Linked DNA regions of Astyanax mexicanus. The protein of the gene in region 1 purifies or fractionates together with the protein of each later gene. This does not show direct contact. Links are inferred from orthologs where the notes say so. Each region holds a gene or a part of one and is shown in the gene's direction. Other genes may lie near its edges.

The links. Proteins that work in one complex are often made in the same cells at the same time.
Region 2: the proteins of cul2 (region 1) and cops8 purify together in Homo sapiens (affinity purification with mass spectrometry; 4 studies listed by BioGRID and IntAct, counting the BioPlex papers as one, with this or other methods). This does not show direct contact. The link is inferred for Astyanax mexicanus from reciprocal best matches to the Homo sapiens genes CUL2 and COPS8.
Region 3: the proteins of cul2 (region 1) and cand1 purify together in Homo sapiens (affinity purification with western blotting; 7 studies listed by BioGRID and IntAct, with this or other methods). This does not show direct contact. The link is inferred for Astyanax mexicanus from reciprocal best matches to the Homo sapiens genes CUL2 and CAND1.

What each region holds. Positions count from the first base shown.
Region 1 is NC_064413.1:45,837,245-45,844,264, reverse strand, and holds the start of cul2 (cullin-2), read left to right. Parts: upstream 1-3,993; 5' UTR 3,994-4,190; intron 4,191-4,666; exon of another isoform or gene 4,667-4,819; intron 4,820-7,020. Other genes in the region: rmdn1 (regulator of microtubule dynamics protein 1), read right to left, coding at 1,575-1,685.
Region 2 is NC_064418.1:23,877,677-23,884,517, reverse strand, and holds the start of cops8 (COP9 signalosome complex subunit 8), read left to right. Parts: upstream 1-3,827; 5' UTR 3,828-4,075; coding exon 4,076-4,150; intron 4,151-5,473; coding exon 5,474-5,544; intron 5,545-6,822; coding exon 6,823-6,841. UniProt on the Homo sapiens protein: Component of the COP9 signalosome complex (CSN), a complex involved in various cellular and developmental processes.
Region 3 is NC_064409.1:11,542,006-11,549,145, forward strand, and holds the start of cand1 (cullin-associated NEDD8-dissociated protein 1), read left to right. Parts: upstream 1-4,126; 5' UTR 4,127-4,380; coding exon 4,381-4,448; intron 4,449-7,140. UniProt on the Homo sapiens protein: Key assembly factor of SCF (SKP1-CUL1-F-box protein) E3 ubiquitin ligase complexes that promotes the exchange of the substrate-recognition F-box subunit in SCF complexes, thereby playing a key role in the cellular repertoire of SCF complexes.

The sequences.
Region 1 (7,020 bases):
CGTATCCACTGTGAATAGAGTGTACAACAATGCAAGTGTTTAAAGTGTTTTACCCTGCACTTTTAGCATATGGACTTTAAGCAACTTTTTACAGTGTTGGGTAAATCATGCTCCTGTCAGAGGCTCTGTGCTCTTTCCCCTAGATCTACTAATCTACTAGCTAGTGCAGTTCAGAGTGCAGATATAACCCACTGCTGCTGGGGGCTGACTGGTCCACTGTACATTTATAACTATAGGTGCGCAGAAAAACACTGAAGCTACTCTGTAACAAGTCCTGTAACTAGTTAGTTTGCAGCTGGAAAGATCATGCTCAGAATAATCTACTGTTTCACATAGTAAAACACTAGCTATAATATCAGAGGAGTATCAAATGTAATATAGGAGTCTCACAGGTAAACAGCTATAATATCAGAGGAGTATCACAGGTAAACAGCTATGATATCAGTGTAAAATCACAGGTAAACAGCTATGGTTTAGAGGAGTATCACAGGTAAACAGCTATGATATCAGAGGAGTATAACAGGTGAACAGCTATGATATCAGAGAAGTATCACAGGTGAACAGCTATGATAGAGAAGAAGTACCACAGGTGAACAGCTATGATATCAGAGGAGTATCACAGGTGAACCGCTATGATATCAGATAAGTATCACAGGTGAACAGCTATGATATCAGAGGAGTATAACAGGTGAACAGCTATGATATCAGAGGAGTATAACAGGTGAACAGCTATGATATCAGAGGAGTATAACAGGTGAACAGCTATGATATCAGAGGAGTATCACAGTTGAACAGCTATGATAGAGAAGTATCACAGGTGAACCACTATGATAGAGGAGGAGTATCACAGGTAATATCAGAGTATCAGAGGAGCATCAGACATAATATCAGATGAGAATCACAGGTAAACAGCTATGATATCAGAGGTGTACTAGAGGTGAACCGCTAAGATATCAGAGGAGTATCACAGGTGAACCGCTATGATATCAGATAAGTATCACAGGTGAACAGCTATGATAGAGGAGGAGTATCACAGGTAATATCAGAGTATCAGAGGAGCATCAGACATAATATCAGATGAGAATCACAGGTAAACAGCTATGATATCAGTGTAAAATCACAGGTAAACAGATATGGTTTAGAGGAGTATCAAAGGTAAACAGCTATGTTATCAGGTAAACAGCTCTAATATCAAAGTGGTAACACAGGTGAACAGCTATATGATATAAGAGGAGTATTACAGGTGAACAACTATGATATCAGAGGAAAATCACAGTTAAGCAACTATGGTTTTAGAGGAGTATCGCAGTTAATATCAGGAGTTTCACAGGTAAACAGGTATGATATCAGGGGAGTAACACAGGTGAATAGCTATGCTATCAGAGGAGAATCAAATGGAAATATTAGAGGAGTATCACAGGTAATAACTGAGACAAATTACAGGTAAACAGCTATGATATCAGTTAGTGTCACAGGTAATTTAAGAGACAAATCACAGGTAATATCATAAGAGAATCACAGGTGAACAGCTGTAAGATCAGAGAGGTTTAAGATCAAGATAAATTCTTAGTTACACGAGTTGAGATCCTCCGGAAGGGCCCGAGCTGCTGCTGCCCGCTGACCCGGCTCTTCAGCTCCCTCCCCGCGGCTCTGAAACCCGCCCGGACCGCAGCTACAGAGGCCATTCTGCAGCTCCACTGACCCCCAGCTCAGCGACCTCCACTATCAGACGGGCTGAATGGAAGTGAACCTGAGAGCGGGCGAAGCGCCGTGTAACCCGAGCGCTGTATACCACACAGCGTCAGAGCCGGGGCTGCCAGATCCTCTACAAACCCTCTTCTCTAATACTTTCTTTTTCTTAAGGATTAAGAAGATTATTAAAGATTTTAATAGTGGATATAGAGAAAAACATTGAATAAGAAGAGGTGGTCAAACGTTTTACTGGTACTGTGTATGTATGTATGCACATAACAAGTTTAAATTGCGTTTTAAGCTAATGTAATTTGTGTTAAAACCTGGAGTGTAGCTCGGGGGTTTATCTACACCTGGCAACCCACAACATTTGTTTTGGTCTGTCGGTTCGTAATATCCGCTGACGACACGCATAATGATGCGGAAGAAGTGCTCGGTTTCTCTCCGCTCTGAGAGAAATTCACACCTTTATTCTGTGTATTATTAATATATTACATTTAATCTGGAGCTGTGTGTGTTTCAGAGCCTGTAAACTGTCAGATATAGAGTGTAGACAATGGGGATCACCTCTCTCTCTCACACACATACATATATGTTACCATATATTTTTTTTTAACAATTCTAAGGCTTTTTATGAAATATTCTACTAATTATTATATATTCTGATATTCCAAAAATAATAAATGTGGGTATATTCTTTAGACTTTTTCGGCACATTTAATTCTGTGCCGAAAGAATAAACAATTAACAGCAGTTTCAAGAGATTTGTTTGTTTTTTTTAATTCAATGTAACAACTTGTGTTTTGAAGTAAAAAAAAAAAAGAAATATTTGCATTCGCATAGGAGAAACAAATGGTAATTTTTTCTAAAAGTTAAAGACCGTATTACAATAAAAAAAAGATAAGCCAGGTTTTTATCACAGTTACCTCAAAATGTAAAATATTGTTTATATCTTATTATATATTTATTAGAGAATTGCATGGGGGATATTTAAGTGTATTTCTTTTACTTTGTTTTATACACCTTATATAAAAGGATTCCATCATCCTTTACCTCAGTGAATATTTTCAATAAGAGCATTCCAATTAAATTGTACACACAGAGTGATATTTTATTATTGATGATAATGATTATGGCTTACAGCCAATAAAAATCCAAAAATCAGTGTCTCAGAAAATTAAAATATTATATAAGACCAATTGGTACTTTTGGCAGTGTAGGCAGTGTGCCAAGCCCTGCTAGAATATAAAATCTGCATTTCCATAATTGTCAGTAGAGGGAAGCAAATCAAGTCAAGTAGTTTTATTGTCAATACTGCATATGTAGAGGACATACAAAGAATTGAAATTACGTTACTCTCCTTCCCAAAAGTTACAGAAAGTTCAGAAAATAAGATTATAAATATAAAATAATGGGAGACTCTATATGTACAATACAACAAGGACACAGAGGCAAAAAGACACAAGACAATAGTGCAATAGTCGTGAGGGGGAGATTAAAGAGGAAATGACAGTACAAGTATAAACAGAACCCGTATAACAGTAGTGCAAATATAGTGGTATAATTGCTTAAGGCTGACAAAGGGAATAAGTGCACACAGTTCTTAAATGTTCAGGGGGAATTAACAGTGGGTATGACAGTGAAGTCCTTCCAACCATCACTGATCATCAGTAAATTTAGCATTTCATTTGGAAATCAAGGGAGCAAAGTCTGGAATAGTGGAGAGGCACACAGTCTAAGCTGCTTGAGGTCTAGTGTGAAGTTTCCACAATCAGTGATGATTTGGAAAGTCATGTCTCAATCTGCTGGTGTTGGTCCACTGTGTTATATCAAGTCAAAAGTCAGTGCAGTGTTTTCCTGGAAAATTCTACAGCACTTCATGCTTCCCTCTGCTGACAACATTTCATTTTCCAGCAGGACTTGGCACACTGCCCACAAGTGGGTAAGTACCAATTGGGTAAACCATAATCATCAACCATAAAGAAATAAACACACATTTTGAACTGAATTACTGAAATAAAGTAACTTTTCAACAATATTCTATTTTTTTGAGATGCACCTGTATTTGCTCATTTCTTCTCAGTTTTTTGATGATTGACGTCATGCACCTCAGGTCGGCCTCGGAGCAGAGCGGTGTGCGCGAAGGTGAACTGTCCTGAGCTGGATTCCGTAGTTTTGGACAAAACCAACTCGAAATGGGGGAGTTTTAATAGCGAAATATTGTTAAATCTGTCTGTTCTTACACAGAAGGGATATTTAACACTCTGTACATCAGCTTTGTAGTTAACTTAAAATTATTACAGGTTCCTGGTGTGTGTTTTACAGCTTTTTCCCAGTTCCGCAGTGTGTGTGGAGTCTGACATCCCTCCAGCTGATGGAGTTGTGCTGTCCTCCTCTGCTGCTGCTGCTGCGATGGAGCAGGTCTGAGAGAGAGAATCGGGCTTTCTGACAGCGGGGGAACTTCACTGAAACCGAGCGCACTGACCCTGAACCCCGAGGTAACCACCGACACTCAGCTACACACCCAGAACCGCGCCTTTATCCGCGTGTTTAGGGCGCGGGCGAGCCGGGGCCGGGTGTCGGGGCTGCGGGAGGAGGAGCTGCGGGCTGGAGCTCCTCTCTGGATCGGAGGCTCGCTCGGGTTTAGCCGACTAGCTGCTGTTTCGGTTCGGTTAGAGTTCGGATTTCAGCGCTCTGACTAAAAGGACGGTCCAGTAACTTTACTTGGGGAGTAGCTTCCTTGTTTTGGGCCTGTCTCAGTCTTTACCTCCACTAAACTCCAGCTCCAGCTCCCTAAACAAAACCGAAATCACTGAAATGTCAGACTAGCTGAAGCGGCTATCCGGCTAACTAGCTAGGCCTCCGTACTGTTAGGCTCGTGACTGTGTTTTTATAAGTAAACGGGTTTAAATCCCAACGGGTAAATCCGGGTAATTACCCAACTGTCGGCTTATAAAGCTTCACAGAAAACTCATATAACCAGCGTTAACTAACTGTATAACGAGCCTTCCTTAATATAGCCACAAATGGAGTTCATCAATCTGCTGGCTGGCTGGCTACTTACTTAGCCCTAGCTGTAAGACATGGTGGTGGTCTGAAGTTTGCTCTGTAGTTCTACTGTAAGACTGTAAGACTTCAAAATCTGCTCAAATCAATTTTACCCTGAAATGTTGTGCTTTTAATACTTGGTGTGTAACTAGCTTAATTATATTTAACTTATACTATTGCACAAGTTATATTGGCTTAAAAGTTACTGGTTGGCTTAACGTTATCCTAGCTAGATTTAGTTAACTATTTAGCTAGGTTAAATAAGTCAATACTTAAGCCCAAAATGTGATAACAGATATTTCATATATTGTAACCTTAGCTGTAATCTTAAAAACATCTTTTATCTACCATTTTTCACTTTATGACAATGTTAATCTGACAGTTTTCTACGTTGTGTCGAGTTTCACTAATAAACAGACCGATAGAAATGCTTTTGAAGATGCCTAGCCCTAGCTGTAAGACATGATGGTGCTCTAAAGTTTGCTCTGTAGTTTTACTGTAGGACTGTGAGGCTTTACAATCTGCAAATTTCAAATTTTCCCCAAAATGTTGTGGTTTTAAACATTTAAAGGTGTGTAGGTTAGTTATATTTATACCATTACACTAGCTATTTTGTGTTACAGGTTTACTAGTTAGCTAGATTTAGCTAACTAACTAGGTTAAATAAGTCAATAAGTTACTTAAAACCAAAATGTGATATGTCATGTACTATAGCTGTAATCCTAAAAATATCTTTGACCAGCCATTTAAAATTTTTGACAAAAAAGTACTCATATATTTTAAATAGCATTTTAAAATGCATTGTCCTGTTTTTTTTTTATGAAAACAAAAAAATATATATTCAACACTAAACTTTTTAAATGAGCCAGCTAAACAATGAAAGTGCCTTTTTGCCTTTTTAGCTGAATGATTTTGGTTGGTGAATATATGGGGCTTCCCTACTTGGAATAAAGAGTGTTTACATTGACTTCCATTGAAAGTTGTAAAGTTGTCATGGTTCTGAAGTTTTTCAGAACTGGTAGAGGCTTCCCAAATTAGACTTAAATGTCTTGACTCCCTTTGAGGAGATATGTTGCCCTAAATGTCCTGCAGTAAGTTTACTGAGTTTTACTGCTCTTTTGCAGTCACCTACAGAGCACTGCTAATAGCATGGTAATGATGCAGTGTTCTTTTAATTTATTTATTTTATCACAAATGTATCTGCATTCTTCTGCAAGGGCTTAATTGCTGCACTTCTGATAAAAAACACTAGTCAAGTGTGTATTTATATACTATATAGAAATGAAACACTGTTACTTGTATATTCTTTTCTACATTTTTTACATTATTTGACCCTTGCATTTAATAATTCTAGTGTGTACAAATTTCATGACAGGGTTCCCGCAGGTCCTTAAAATATGCATAATTTAGTTCTTAAATTGTCTTAACATTTCTGTAAATTTACTGTAGGTATTACATTTTTAGATGGTGCGTTTAATGCCAGTGGGAAAGCACTAACATTAGCGGAGAGCTTAGTAACATGCTAACAGGTTCTGCATCACAGTGGAACAAAATTGATGAAGAAAATTGATCATAAATGGGAAACGTTACATTTTAATTTTTAACACAATAAATTATTTTCTACTTAAGAAGTTATAACTACATTTTTGGGCCTTAAATATTTATAATATAATATTTATAACATATTTACTGAGGTCCTAAAAAGGTCTTAAAAAGCGTTCAATTTGACTTTTAACAAAGAGCAAGAACCCTGCATGATGAATTGGCCTCTTTAAAAGTAAAATTCAGATTCAGTTAGTGAATCTGTCATCTATTGATTGTTTGATAAGTGTAGATGCGCTGGTTTTATATGTACCTATATGAACCTAGAGTCGCTATGCCCCAGTGCTAAGCCTCGGTTCTAAAGCCATCCTCACTGGGCTGTAGAGGAGTTTTCTGTACTGAGGGAGCTCCATTCAATACTTTTGGGATAATCTGGTAGAGCTTAGGTCAGGCCCAAAATTAGGCTACAAGAATTAATTCTGAGTGACTTTATTCTAATCTAATATAATTTAACATGTTTTAAGATAAGAAAATAAATCTTAACAAAATATTTTTATATTGAGCTTATAGTCTATGTGCAAAAACAAACAAACAAACAAACAAAAAATTATTAGGCTATGCACTGCACAGCACTGCAAGTAAAGTGCGTACTACGGACAAGTGGAGTGTGCACTTTTTTAAAACACAGTTTTAAACCTTGCTAGTGATTATCATGCCATAGATTTATATAAAATAAAA
Region 2 (6,841 bases), on another chromosome or scaffold:
AAGTCTTTAACAGAAAAATCCAAAAAAAAATCCACAGAAAATTCACAAAAACACAAAAATAAAAGCAAAGACCAAACTGAAATAATACTGCAAAGGATAATAAAATAACCAATTATATTTAAAAATATATATTTGCTATATATTTTTTCTCTTTTGAATTTGTAACATACAATTTTTGCTTTTGATTCCTAACATTTTGATTGCGGATTTATTTTTTTTGTGTAAAACTTTTGGCACAAAATTCACTCCATAAAAGAACACTCTTCTCCTTCCATGGACAGTTATCAGTTTGCGTACCGGGCCAATAGATCTGTTGATGATACAGTCAACCTGGCCCTTCATAGGATTATGCAACATCTGGAATCCCCTAATACATATGCTCGGATATTGTTCATTGACTTTAGTTCGGCCTTTAATACTATTAATCCCATCAATCTTTTCAATAAACTTAGGGATATGGACATTGATATTGCTCTATGTTACTGGATCCACAATTTTTTGTCAAAAAGAACGCAGAGAGTCAGGATGGGTAACCTCTCTTCCCAAACTCTGACCCTTAGTACAGGAGCCCCCCAGGGCTGTGTTCTTTCACCGTGGTTATTCTCACTCTACACAAACACCCTCACATCTACCCACAGTTCAGTTTCTATTCTCAAATATGCAGATGACACAACAATAATTGGTCTTATCACCAACAATAACGAACATCACTATCGCGAACAGGTTGCCCAAGCAGTCACTTGGTGCCAAAATAACAATTTACAGCTTAACATATTAAAAACTCAGGAACTCATAGTTGATTTTTCTCGCACACCCATATACAAAATACCCATCTCTATTTTTTCGCAACCCATTATCATCACTGATTCATTCAAATTTCTGGGAACCCATATCAGCAACACACTTAAATGGAAACTACACTCACACCAACTCTACAAAAAAGCCAACAAAAGGCTATTCTTTCTCAGACAACTAAAAAAATTCAGAGTTAGGAAAAATATCCTTCTTCAGTTCTACACTGCCATCATTCAAAGCATACTCACCTCATCCATAACAGTGTGGTATGGGAATTTGGATACCCATTCACGCAAAAAACTGCAAAGTATAGTAGATAAATCATCAAAAATCACAGGGCACATCCTCCCATCCATTGACACTTTATATTACAGACGCATCACACAACGAGCAATAAAAATCACCTCAGACCCCTCCCATCCTGCATATCATCTATTTACACTTATGCCTTCTGGAAGACGTTACAGGTCACTGTCAACTAAATCTGTCAGATTTAAAAATAGTTTTTTCCCAACTGCTGTACGTTTACTAAACCAGGTTTAACTGTTTATGTATGTATTTGTCTATTCACTGTTATGTGTTGTTTGTTGTTTTGATACAGACATAGATGTGAGCATGTTATGTTATGCTGTACCGTAAGTAAATTCCACCAACTTGTTGTGTGGTCATTAATAATAAATGAAATAATAAATGAAATTGAGTACTTTTTACTTTTACTCAAGTAGATTTTTAGATGGGTACTTTTATTTTTACTTGAGTAGACTTTTAGCAAAGTAAAGATGTGTGTGTGTGTGTGTATTAATGTATTATTTAGTTTTTGTATAAGTATTGTTTAGTTTATATGTATAGTATTTATATATCTATAAACTACATAATACTATAGACCGTTTCAGAGGAATATTCATGAGTGCAGGAAGTGACGTAGCTGTTCCTAGGACACTTCCGTTTTGCGGTAAACAGCGTTCAAAACAGTGGATGTGATTTAATTTAAACCTTCCCTTAAAAACTGTTCCACAGCCACAAGAACTGCTGCAACATGACTGCAAACTTCCCCTAATCTGAGAGTCACAAACACTGAAAATCAGTTCATTACCAGCAGATTCTCAAATTGTTATTTAACAAGTAAACTATGGAGGACCAAAAATGACATAAGTATAAATAAATAAATGCACATATAAATGTATAAATAAATAAATAAATAAATAAATGCACATATAAATGAATAAATAAATAAATATATAAATAAATTAAAACATGCATAAATAATTGTATAGGTTAATAAATACATTAATAAATACATTTCTTATTCATATATTTATTTATTTATTCATTTATACGTGCACTTATTTAGTTCAACATTTATTTATTTATTTATTTATTTCAACATTTATTTATTTATTCATTCATTTATTATAACATTTCTACATTTATTTATTGATTTATTTCCACATTTCCACATATTTATTCATTTATTTATTTACCTATACAATTATTTATATGTGTATTTATTTATTTATTCATTTATATGTGCCTTTATTAATATATTTATTTATTTTAACATTTATATATTTATGCATTTATTTATTTATACTTTTTGGTCCTCCATAGTAGACACGCGTGCTTTCGCTTTTCTCACAATGTCTCCCTCCTTCTTATACAAATCATGCAGAGTACGTGTTGGATAGCGTTTGACTTGCTACAACCTCAAAATACACTATAGTGATGCTTCTCTCCTATAGGAACAAATATTCCCAACTTTTCCACTGAGAAAGTAATTATATCCGTCCAAACTGTGGTACGCTTTCACTGCCTGTCTGGTGTAAACACGCCCTGTTTCAAGGAGATAGTGATCACATCTGGGTAGTTCACCTCTGGCAAGCGTTTTAAATCAGAGGAAAAAACTTTCCTCTTAAATCCTTATCAAAAAGATCAGGAAAAGAGGTTTGATCACTTTTTATTAATTTCTGACCTGTTTGCTTTGTGTTCGGGAGACTTGCGAAATATGCGCTCTCATTTTGACAGCTGTATACTTGAAAATAGCGCCACCGGAAGCGTCAAAGGAACAGACATGCGCAGTAGCTTTGTTATTGTTTTCCCCATTGAACTGTCTATATATATATATATATAAATTAAATAATACATTATTCTAAGTCATTCTTTTTTTTTCCAACTTCATTTCAAATGCCCTCTATTTGTTTATGTTCAGTTCTACTCGTTCACATTTAAAATGTTTAAGTAATTGCACAGATAATTAACCTGGACTTAATTAATTTGGTATTTTGTGGTCTGAAGCAAAACGAAAATCAAAATCTCTGGCTCATTTCTCAGCTCTGAGTTTAGTTGTGGCGGGTAGAATCTCAAACAGGAAACAGGAAAAACTCCGTAGGATAGACTGTCCCATTTCAGTAGAGCCGCTGCAGCCTACCCATCCTTCAAAGGACACACCTTCGTAGACCGCGTCCTTCGAAGGATGCAGCCTCTGAATTGAGACACAGCTTATGACTGCTCATTACCCGAAGCCTCACTGAATACTGCTCACTAGTGACTCCTGCTGTATAAAGGGTTATACAACAGCATGAATGAATCCTGACCCACAGTATCCTGGAATGTCTGTGTATAAAATAAACGAATTATTCTACTCTGTTTTAATGAATATTAAAATGTCTGTTCATTTAAATATTATTAATTAAGTGTTGGTAAACACAAAGCTTACTGACACTGATGGCGAGAGTGCTTAGAACTGGGAGTAAAGGACACTAAACTGTAACAGAGCAGTAGGAGAAAACAGTTTTTAACTGTATTGTTGTTGCTGAGGCGATTTCCTATATTTGCTGACTGTTTGCAGCAGCTGTGATTGGCTGGCAGTGTTAGGGCGCTGAAAACCAGCATTGTGATTGGCTCAGTGGATCAGTTGTCGCCATCCTATTAAAAGGGCTCAGCTTTCCCATTCCCCCAATTACTTTCCTTCTCTCCACTCCTCCTCCTCATTTCCTCCACCTTCTTCTGGCGTTGGAGAAGAGGAGCAGGAAAGGACGCAGCCAGGATCCGACTCGGGACTCCTCGCTTCGATTGTCATCACTACCTGCAGCCCGGCGCTGTAATACTGCAGGCGGCCTGCAGGGGCGGTGCTGCCAGGAGCGTGTAAGAAAGCCGAGCGGTGAAGAAGAAGCCAGTGCACTGTAAGCTCCGGCTAACCGGAGCTAACCGAGGTTAAGAGTGGGTAACAGCGGCGGGGAACGGAGGGTAAGGGGAGCTGCTGGGTCCTGAACGGAGAGCGAGCATGCCGGTGGCGGTGGTGGTGATGGGGGAGAGCTGTGAGAAGCTGCTGGATCAGTGCGAGGCGCAGGAGCTGGAGGTGAGGAAGAGAGAGAGAGTGTGGGGAGCTCGGACTGAGGATTACTGTAGATTAGTTTAGTTTAGCGTTGTTTATTTAGTGAAGTAGGTTAGCTAGTTTAGTAATGAAGTGGTGAACTGGTGAGTGAGCGCTGGCGGAGCGGCCGGGGTCTTTATTATAACAGTTCCGCGGTTTATGTGCGGGATCACTGAAAACAGAGGTTGTTTATCTGAACATAAGAAGAATCCAGATCCAGAAAATCCGCGCCGTAGCTGTGCTGCGGCCGCAGGTCTGATTCTGTGTATCTCCGAGATGCTGCGGAGCTGCTCAGGCAGTGGGAGCGAAACCCTGGCGCGGATCATTCCTATCTGGACGTGGACTCTGCATCTACTGAACCCCCCCGCTTACTGCAGCTCTAATATCTACAATTGAATTGAATTGATACCAAACAGCCTCTAAAAACATTAATCACTCAGTGTTTTACCCCTTAATGTTGATGATGGAAAAACAACCTTTAAACAGCATCGGTTAGAGTTAAACTCTGACATTGAATCAATGATTATTTAAATGCCTTGAATGTTTAACACTCACAATAATGCTTATAGGAGAAAGCTGCTTCCCTCTAATAACATTAATAACAATAATATTAATTATAATAGTGGTGTTGGTGGTAGTAGTAGTAGTAGTAGTAGTAGTTAGAATAGTAACAATATCAATTATAAAATTAGGAGAATTATTATTATTATTATTATTATTATTATTATTATTATTATTATTATTATTATTATTATTCCTTTCTGGCAAGAACAAAGTACAGTCTAAAAGAATACAATACAAACAAGATATACATATTTATTGTTAGAGAATACAAACAACACAAATCCATAACACTGAATCAGCGTTGATTTATATTTGCAGTCTTATAATTTAGCAGAATTGTAATTTACGAGTGAATGGACTCTGTGTCTGGACTCGGCAGGTGTTTAGTGAAATGTTGTAGTCTTGATGAGCTGACCAGTATTCTCCCTTTTATATACCATAACATAGTTCTTACTAGTAATATTATCACATCTGCAGATCTGTAAATCAGTTCTGACTTGTCACAAGACCCACACCACGCATCTCTAATGTATTTCTTTGTAGTCACATGATTCACACATCCCAAATGTAATTCTGTGTAGTCACATGACCCACCTGAATCAGTTGTTCATGCAGCTACTAATCTTAAACTGCCTCTCGCAATAATACGCTTGGGTCTCTGCTGGAGTTTTGATGTGATTAATCAATCTTAGTAACTCTCTTTAATGCTCTGTTCTCATTGTCTGCTGTTTGCTGTGATTGCAGGCTCCAGGTGGCATCGCTACTCCACAGGTGTATTCTCAGTTACTGGCTCTGTATCTTCTCCACAATGACATGTAAGTTTTCGCACATCCTCCATTTTAGGAATGTGCTTAATTATAGACAGTAATGTCACAAACATTTTTGGCACAAAACAAAAGCTATATGACAATAGTGATCAGCAGTATTGTGTAGTGCTGGGTGATATGACAAAAAAAAAAGATTTTGATGGCTGCACAGTATATTGCATTTTTTTTTATTTACTCTTCTTACTTTATATATATCTTTGTACTGGGCTTTTATTTAGGTTTGTGACTATTTGTGACTTATTCCAGGAATATGTAGAATATAAAACATTAAGGGCGATATTGTACACCCTGTGCAAGGCACGTCGCAATGCTTGTTTCTGTCTTATACCCTGTCAACAGTTTATTTCTGTGCTGATTACAGTACTCTCAATCCAGTCCAGTGAAAGTGTGTTCAGAAAGCATTTAAAGATAAACGGGGAAGAGAATGCAATATGTGGAAGCGCCACGTTACAAAATAAACCAATCACATGACCCGCATGCGAACCCAGGCATGGTGAGCTTCCATACCCGAGTCCACTTAAAATGAACCTTAGACCACTGATTTCAGGAGGCCCAGGGCTTAAAAGCAACTTACACACTTAACTAAACATACCAGACCAGCGGAGAAAGTGCAAAATAAAGATGCAGAGCCTCTTCAAGCTGTTTACTATCAGATTGTTTTTTTAATGCTAATGCTAGCTAGCGTACTGTTCCTCTGGTCTTTGGCTGTGCTGTTCCACACAGTTCCCTTCAGCACTTTGAGTGGAGAACAGTATTATATAATTTGCTGCCTGTTGAACCATTACAGCTGTCTTTTCAGCTATGCTACAATATTTCGGAACATGAAAAATGCACACCGGATGTGAAAATAGAATCAGTATACCCAGCCCTACTATTTTCTGTATTAGCTTTTAATTGTTTACGTTTGCAGTTTATATGCAGCACTATGTGGCACTTTAGTTTTGCGATAGATATTTGTCACAATACTTTATCTTTGTTACATTTTACTGTTATTATTCTATACAGAATCAGAATTTACTGTTTATTAAATAGTCAAAATTAGATTACAGTATGTTTTGTGTCACCTGAATATATTAAACTGTTATACTAAATAAAGCTTTGCAGTTATATGTTCTTGAAATTAATTTAAAAAATAAATCTCTTTGTCACATAACATGGTGATTATTTTTTGGCCATATCTGACCACGATCTAATTCCTTTATGGTAATTCCTTATCAATTGATCACTTAAATTAGGTAACAATTTATATGTTCTGTGTTTTTGCAGGAACAATGCCAGATATCTT
Region 3 (7,140 bases), on another chromosome or scaffold:
TGTCATTTATCAGTTATATAACACCCTGCTTTGTTTGGAACATTGTATATAATGTCTGAAATTACAACAAACCTTGCATTGCATTCAGACCACGAGTGACCTTCACTATAAAATGAATTTGAGTCATTGAATCAGTTTGATGATGTTAAGTAGGAAATGCCCTGTGCTAAACTGTTTGTTGTGTTTTTCCACCCCAACATTAAACTCAGCCCTCAATCTCATTTTTATGCCTTTGCCACCTGCTGTCCATCTAAGAGCAATTTAGTACACAGCTGTTGAGGGTATTCTTAGAAATCATAACAGATTTTATGGCAAATTGGTTCCTTGTTGCGGTGCAAATAAATTGGCCCTGGATTGATGAGGGCGTAATCAAATGGCTTTTCAGAAAACAAAGTTGGCTGCCACAAATGACCAAAATGCCAACATGATTATTTTTCACTATTTGCACTTTTTTTCCTTTTTTACATTATTGGCTTTTTATATCTTCAACATAATGAGATTGGGACTTGGCTGCATTTATTTGTACATTTGCTTCTGCATGTGTCTGAAAAGTCCTGCTTTTAGAGCAGCTATTCCAGCCATGTCTGTATTAGAGCACTCTAATACTAGAGTAGCACACAACTGTGTCTTTCCACTGCGTAAGTGTCCCATTATCGCAATCATGTTTGGCCTCCTGTCTACAATGAAGTCATAAAACTGAGAATAACGCAGATTAGTTCAACTTTAGGGACCTGGATACACAACTTACTACAGAAATCATCATGAATCATTGTGAGGTTTGGCACAAACTGTCTTTTTTCTCATTTTTTCCTCTAATAGTCCTCCTATTAGGACTCCCCCATCACTAGTGATAGCCCAACACTAGGACGGTGAAAACAAGAACACGCCTCCTCCGACACATCTGAAGTCAGCCACCACCTCTTTCCAAACTGCTGCTGATGCAGCATTGCTGAGTAGCATCACAGCGCACTCGGAGGAAAGCGCAGCGACTCTGTTCCGATACATCAGCCCTTTTGTAGTGATGTGGGAAGAGAGCGCCATCTACCCACCCAGAGAGAGAGCAAGGCCAATTGTGCTTTCTCAGGGCTCTGGTAGCCAATGGCAAGCTACATAAACAGGATTCAAACCGGCAATCTCCACTAACAGTTATTGTTTTTTTACTACCTGCTAATAGTATTTGTAACAAATATCTATCCTGTTTCCTCAATTCAGCTTGCACATTTCTTAGGTAAATGACAGTATGTATTGCTCCTTTAAACTAATTCAGTGAATTTAAGTTGAATTTAAAGTGATTTTTAAGTTAAATCATTTAGATTGTAAACCTAAAAACATACAAACTGAATGTGAATGAAGAAGCACAAAAGGTGACACAAAAGGTAGTGTGTGTGTGCTGCACAGCTCCAGAGGCCTGGGGTTGTGGGTTTAGCATAGCAAAATGAATTGGCAATGCTAAATTGCCCCTAGTTGTGAGGGTGTGAGGTACTGGGTGTACTGGGTGTGCTGGGTGTGCGGTATCCAGCCATGGACTGGTGCAGGCTACAGGGCAAATTCCTGCCTCTTGCCCAGGGATTCCAGGTAGACTCCAGAACCTAGTGCAACCCTGACCGTAGGGAAGCAGATAAGAAGAGGAATGAATGACTGCACATATAAAATGTTATGCAAAGGTTTTAGACACCTAAGCACATTATTTAAAAACCTTTATCTCAGCAATAAAGATGGGTTTGCTTGTAAAAATGTTGAAGCTTGTGCAGTCAAAAATGAATACAATAAAAAATAACAATGTAGTTGAGAGCTTGTGAGTTAGTTTTGGGGATTAAATCAAGGTAGCAACGCCCCAGTGGATGTGTTTAATTCCATCACCAACTTACCTTTTTAGAATTATTACACAATAATTTACCCAACATTTACTAGACTCTAACAAGGTGAGCTTTAGAGAGGCTTTAAATATTTAATGCACATATGAATAGATTTGTATGGTAAGCACTAAGCTTTAGCTAAAGTTAGCTAACTTTAGCTACCTAGGTAATTTATCACAATCTCTATTAGGGTTGGGAATATCAAGTGATTTTGGCTGAATTATTACAGCTCTGGAAAAAAAAACAAGAGACAACGAAAAAAAGATGAGTTTATTTGATTTTACCAAATTGAAAACCTCTGGAATATAATCAAGAGGAAGAAAGATGATCACAAGCCATCAAACCAAGCTGAACTGCTTGACTTTTTGCACCAGGAATGCCATAAAGTTATCCAAAAGCAGTGTGCAAGACTGGTGGAGGACAATAAGATTAATAAAAACTGTGATTAAACACAAGGGTTATTCCACCATGAAATCCTGTTCATATAGCTTGCTATTGGCTACTGGAGCCCTGAGAGAGGACAACTGGTCTTGCTCTTTCTCGAGGTGGGTAGATGGACCCACCTGAGAGCTAATTTATCTGAACCATAGACTGTATATAAAGATGGACGCCGTGTCGCCGTTCCCATTCATTCAATGAAAATGAAGCCAAAATCTTCCGCCATTTTGGCGATTCAGAGACCAGAGTCTGCGCAGTAGAGACCAGAGGAGGGAGAAAGACTGTGGAGAGACAGCCTACTCATTTAAATAAACCCGCCCCTGAGGGCTGCCTCAACAGAGCTCACACAGTCTGACAAACCGAGCCGAGCGGAGAACTTATCTGCAGCACGATAAGGTTAATATTTTCATAGTAACAGTGCAGTTCGTGCACGTTATGGATATTAACCACATGATAACCACATGATAGTTCTGTATGTAGCAAGTGGAAGTGAATAAAATACAGCGAAAAAAAAAACATCACCAAACGGCAGTGAATGCCAGGACTAGTTATTGCTTTAAACAACGAGACGAATCCCGTACTGAAGCTCAGTTAATTTTGCTGCTGAGACAAACTGAGCACATTTGGCTAAATTCTGCACGGATTATGCAGAGTCTAAACCAGTGCTGCCGTACATCAGCGGATCTCGGGCAGAGCCTTCATGCTATCTGGGTCAGCTTGCCGCACGCACCGGTGACGGGCGAAGCCACTGACCAAGTAAAAATATGAATTCTACAGAGTCTAGCGAATATAGTTAGTTAGATAACTACACTAATGTTAGCTAACAAATTAAGCTAGCTATAAAATCCAACCGAGATTAAATGGTTCGTCTAAGATGATAACTAATAAAATAAAATGCACACAGACAAAGGAGTGGAGGGAAAAACAGCCAGCAAACTTACCGAAAAAACTGCAAAGAACTTTGTCCAGAATGTCTGTTAGAGCAATTAACAGCAGAACACGACATTAATAATACAGCTATCTAAATTCAGTTTAGCTAATAAAAAATAATAATGGTAGTTAGCTAGCTAAACGTTTGACTAACTACTAGTACTAGTCTACTGCTTGACGTAAGGGGAAAAAAGAACATGATGCAGGTTCGGTCTGTTATTGGTCCCGCCCATACAGTCATTGGTCCCACCCCAGCTAGGTGTAACCCAGCCCTTTTTACAATAACCACACCTTTTTAAATAGAGCTGAATAACGCTTTAAAAAACGAATTCTGTGGGAATATAAAACAAATTGACAATATAAGCAGAGGTTACACCAGCTGTTGCATTTAAATAAAGGTGGAAGAATTACAGTATATTAGAAAAAAACGTGATTGAAAGTTGTCTGTTTTGCCATTGAAACCTATGGGGGTGGGTGGGGTTATACAGCTTTCTGCAGCCGAACAGCAGGGGGCGCCCGACCTGTGGTGGCTTCACTTTTGAGAGACGATGTTCTGTCCAGCTATACACAGTCTATGATCTGAACCGACTCACTGCGCTGTGATGCTACTCAGTAATGCTAACTTCACATATAATAGAGGAGGCATGTGCCAGTCTTTACCCCCCTGTTGTTGGGGCATCACTAGTGATAGGGAATTGTTGGGTAATTGGACGTGTAAATTAGGGAGAAAATGGGAATAAATTAGAACTAAAAATGATACTAAATAAAACTGTTAGCTGTGTTGTCGCTGAACCTCTCCAAACTCTGTAATCTTTATTCCTGCGTTGCGATTGGCCAGTTTAGCTGTCGGTGAAGGCGAGGCCCCGCCCACAGAGATCTCTCTCAACTTTGCCCTCTCCGTCTGGAGCCGCAGCTCCTCCCTCTTGCAGAGCGAAGCAGGACCTCCATTCAAACCTCCAAACTCAGGGGGATGCAAGTGTAACTCCGCCGCCCTGCTAGAGCCGCACAGAGACTGCAGAGAGCGTGGAGAACCGGCTTTGTGTCGCAGCGCTGCAGCTACGCGAGAAAGTGGAGGGGGAGGATAACTAGTGATTGTGGCCGCGATACTCACAAGTGGTTGCTACCAGCGAGCTGCTCCAACTGACTGACTGCAAATATGGCGAGCGCCTCATACCACATCTCTAATCTCCTGGAAAAAATGACTTCCAGCGATAAGGATTTCAGGTGAGCCATGCTCCCGAATACCGCCGCTGCGGTGTGAAGTTCGGGTATATGTGTGGTTGTTAGAGCTGCAGCGCGTGTGGGCCGTGTTTTCGTTCTGAAATGGGGATCGTGCACTGAGTTTGGAGCTGGGTAGGCTAAGCTAACGATAGCTAGCCTAGCTTGGTTAGCTTAGCTTGCTAGTTAGCTAGGCCGCAGATCCGCCGCTGTTGTGTTTAGCGCACCAGCCAGTTAGTCGACAAGTTATAAGATAGCTAAAGACAGTTGGAACGTCTTATTTTTGCTTTTAAATCAACCTTATGGAGTTAATTCGCTGTAAGTGGGGATTTGTGCTAACAGTAAGCTAGCTAGCTTGCTAACTAACTCGCTAACAATGTAAGCAAGCTAGCTCCTCAGGTTAGCGCGCTAAACGGCTGATTTTGCCAGTTACGTTAGCTAGCACTATTAGCAAACATTAGGGCGCTATGAGCTCTTCTAGAGCAGGCTGGTGCGGAGGGAGGCTGCGCTGGCTTGCTAACTTAACTATGAAACAGATAATCACCGTTTTATTGCACAGTAACAGTTGTTTGGATGATAGTCAACGTTATATTTTGAACAAATCTACTAACATGAGATGTAGATGTAGGTTAGCTGACTAATTTAACAAAGCTGGCTAGCTAGTGTGGCCTGTCACAAAGTTGACTTGTCATCTTGTCTTGTCATTAACTCGTTGGCTAATCTATTTAGCTAATAGAATAGTCGTGTTTTCTCTGTCAACACTAAGGTTATTAAGTTATCACCAGGAGTTTAGTCTGTGGGGCAACAATGTATGTTAACTAGTTAGTTAGCTATCTAGGTAATTTAGATGTTTAGCATGCTGGTGCCATTATTATTGTAACCAGTGGAAGTTGACTCACGTTGTGTTTTTATAGTAAGTGGCTGCAGGTGCAAAACTATGCAGCTCACATAAGTTGACAATTGCTCGAATCTAAATTAAATCTACTTAACATTTACTAAACTTGAGCAAAAAGTAATATTATACTGTAACGTTAGAGAAATAATTTTAAGGGACTTTCTGAAAACGTGTGAAGTAGCTAATAATGTAAAAATATAAGCGTTTCTCACATAACATTCCAATCTAGACCAATGCTAAAATTTATCAAAGCGTTAAAAGTAGCATTGCTAACACAAAAATTAAAATACGTTAACACCAATTCACCGACGTTACCAGAACGTTTAAAAACGTTAAATAAAACGGTCTAAGAATAGTAACGCTAACCATCTATTTCATGTATAAAAGTTTTTGGTAATAAAAACTAACAATGCTTTTTGCTTTGAAAACATTTCCTTCATAGTTGAAACATCCTGGCTTTTCAGGAAAATTAAACAAAACACATCATTTAACTTATAAAAACAGTTTTCAGTCAGATAGGTTTAAATTTATGGATCAGACATTTTTGTTTTAATGTGTTCATAACATAAAATTTCAACACTTCAAGTTTAAAACCTACATTAAAAATATTATCCATCAAATATTTCACGTTTAACCAATGTCAAGTAAGTTCAGTACAAATCTACAAAATTTAGTCACAATAAGTACATTATTGAAAAAATTGGACATCACCATAATAATATATGATGATCCTGATTTCGCCTATTGTGTTTGTCAATGTTGACAATAATTAATAATGACGACATTGTTTATTGCAGCATTGTAAATGAGTGTTAAATTGAGGTACAATTTACTATTAACTTACTATGGATAGAGATGAGAGAACTGTGGTGCACGCTCTTGTTGTTTTGGAGTTGAGGGTTGGTTGTTTGCAAGCTATTGCTTCAAAGAGTGAAATTGTTAGTTTTCCTCACTGATAATGCTATTTCCACACCACACTAACTTTTTACGCTGCAATCTCCTAATGTTGTTTGCATAATTCACCAAGATACAATACTCCAATGTCTTGATTTGATGTGTTCGTGTCTCAATATGTTGCAGGCAACAGTTTTAACCCATCCTGGAGTATGCTCCATAAAACTTGTTTTGATGTATCTAACTTGAAGATATTAGCAACAATTCTGTAGATTGAGAGGTTGGACATTCTTGAGTCTGTTTGTTGTGCTATGTCTGATCACTTTTGGTAGGTAGCAACCACAGCATGCCAGGATCGCTCATTATTCAAGTTGTTTTGGAGATGCTGTGACCCATTCATATAGTCATCGCTATTTGTCCCTTGGTCAAAGTGTTTAAGATTCTTACGCTTGCCCATTTTTTCAAGAACCAACTGCGCACTTGCTACCTAATACAGTATACAGTATCCCACCCATTCGCCGTTGCAGCAAGATAATCAGTTAATTTACTTTTCAGAGATTTAAGGTCATGACATCACTCTGTTGCAATTTAGAATAAGAAAGTGCCAGCAGATGAGCCAAACATTCCATTTTCCCATTTTCGGTTTGTTGGAGAATTCAACGTTTTAAAGATGCTTAATCAAATATGTTGTCCCTCATATGCTCATGTGCACTTGATTTGTCTTTATTTTTAGATAAAGATGAAGTGATTACCTCAGAAAGAGGGAAGTCTAAGAGGGAGTTTGATTTGTACATTTTGTGCAGTGTCTTTAGTATTAAAAACTGTACTCTTTTCTACAGTATATTAAATATATTTTTAGTGCTTGTGTGTATTGATTTAGAGGAATAGAATTTCCCAGAATTGCATGAA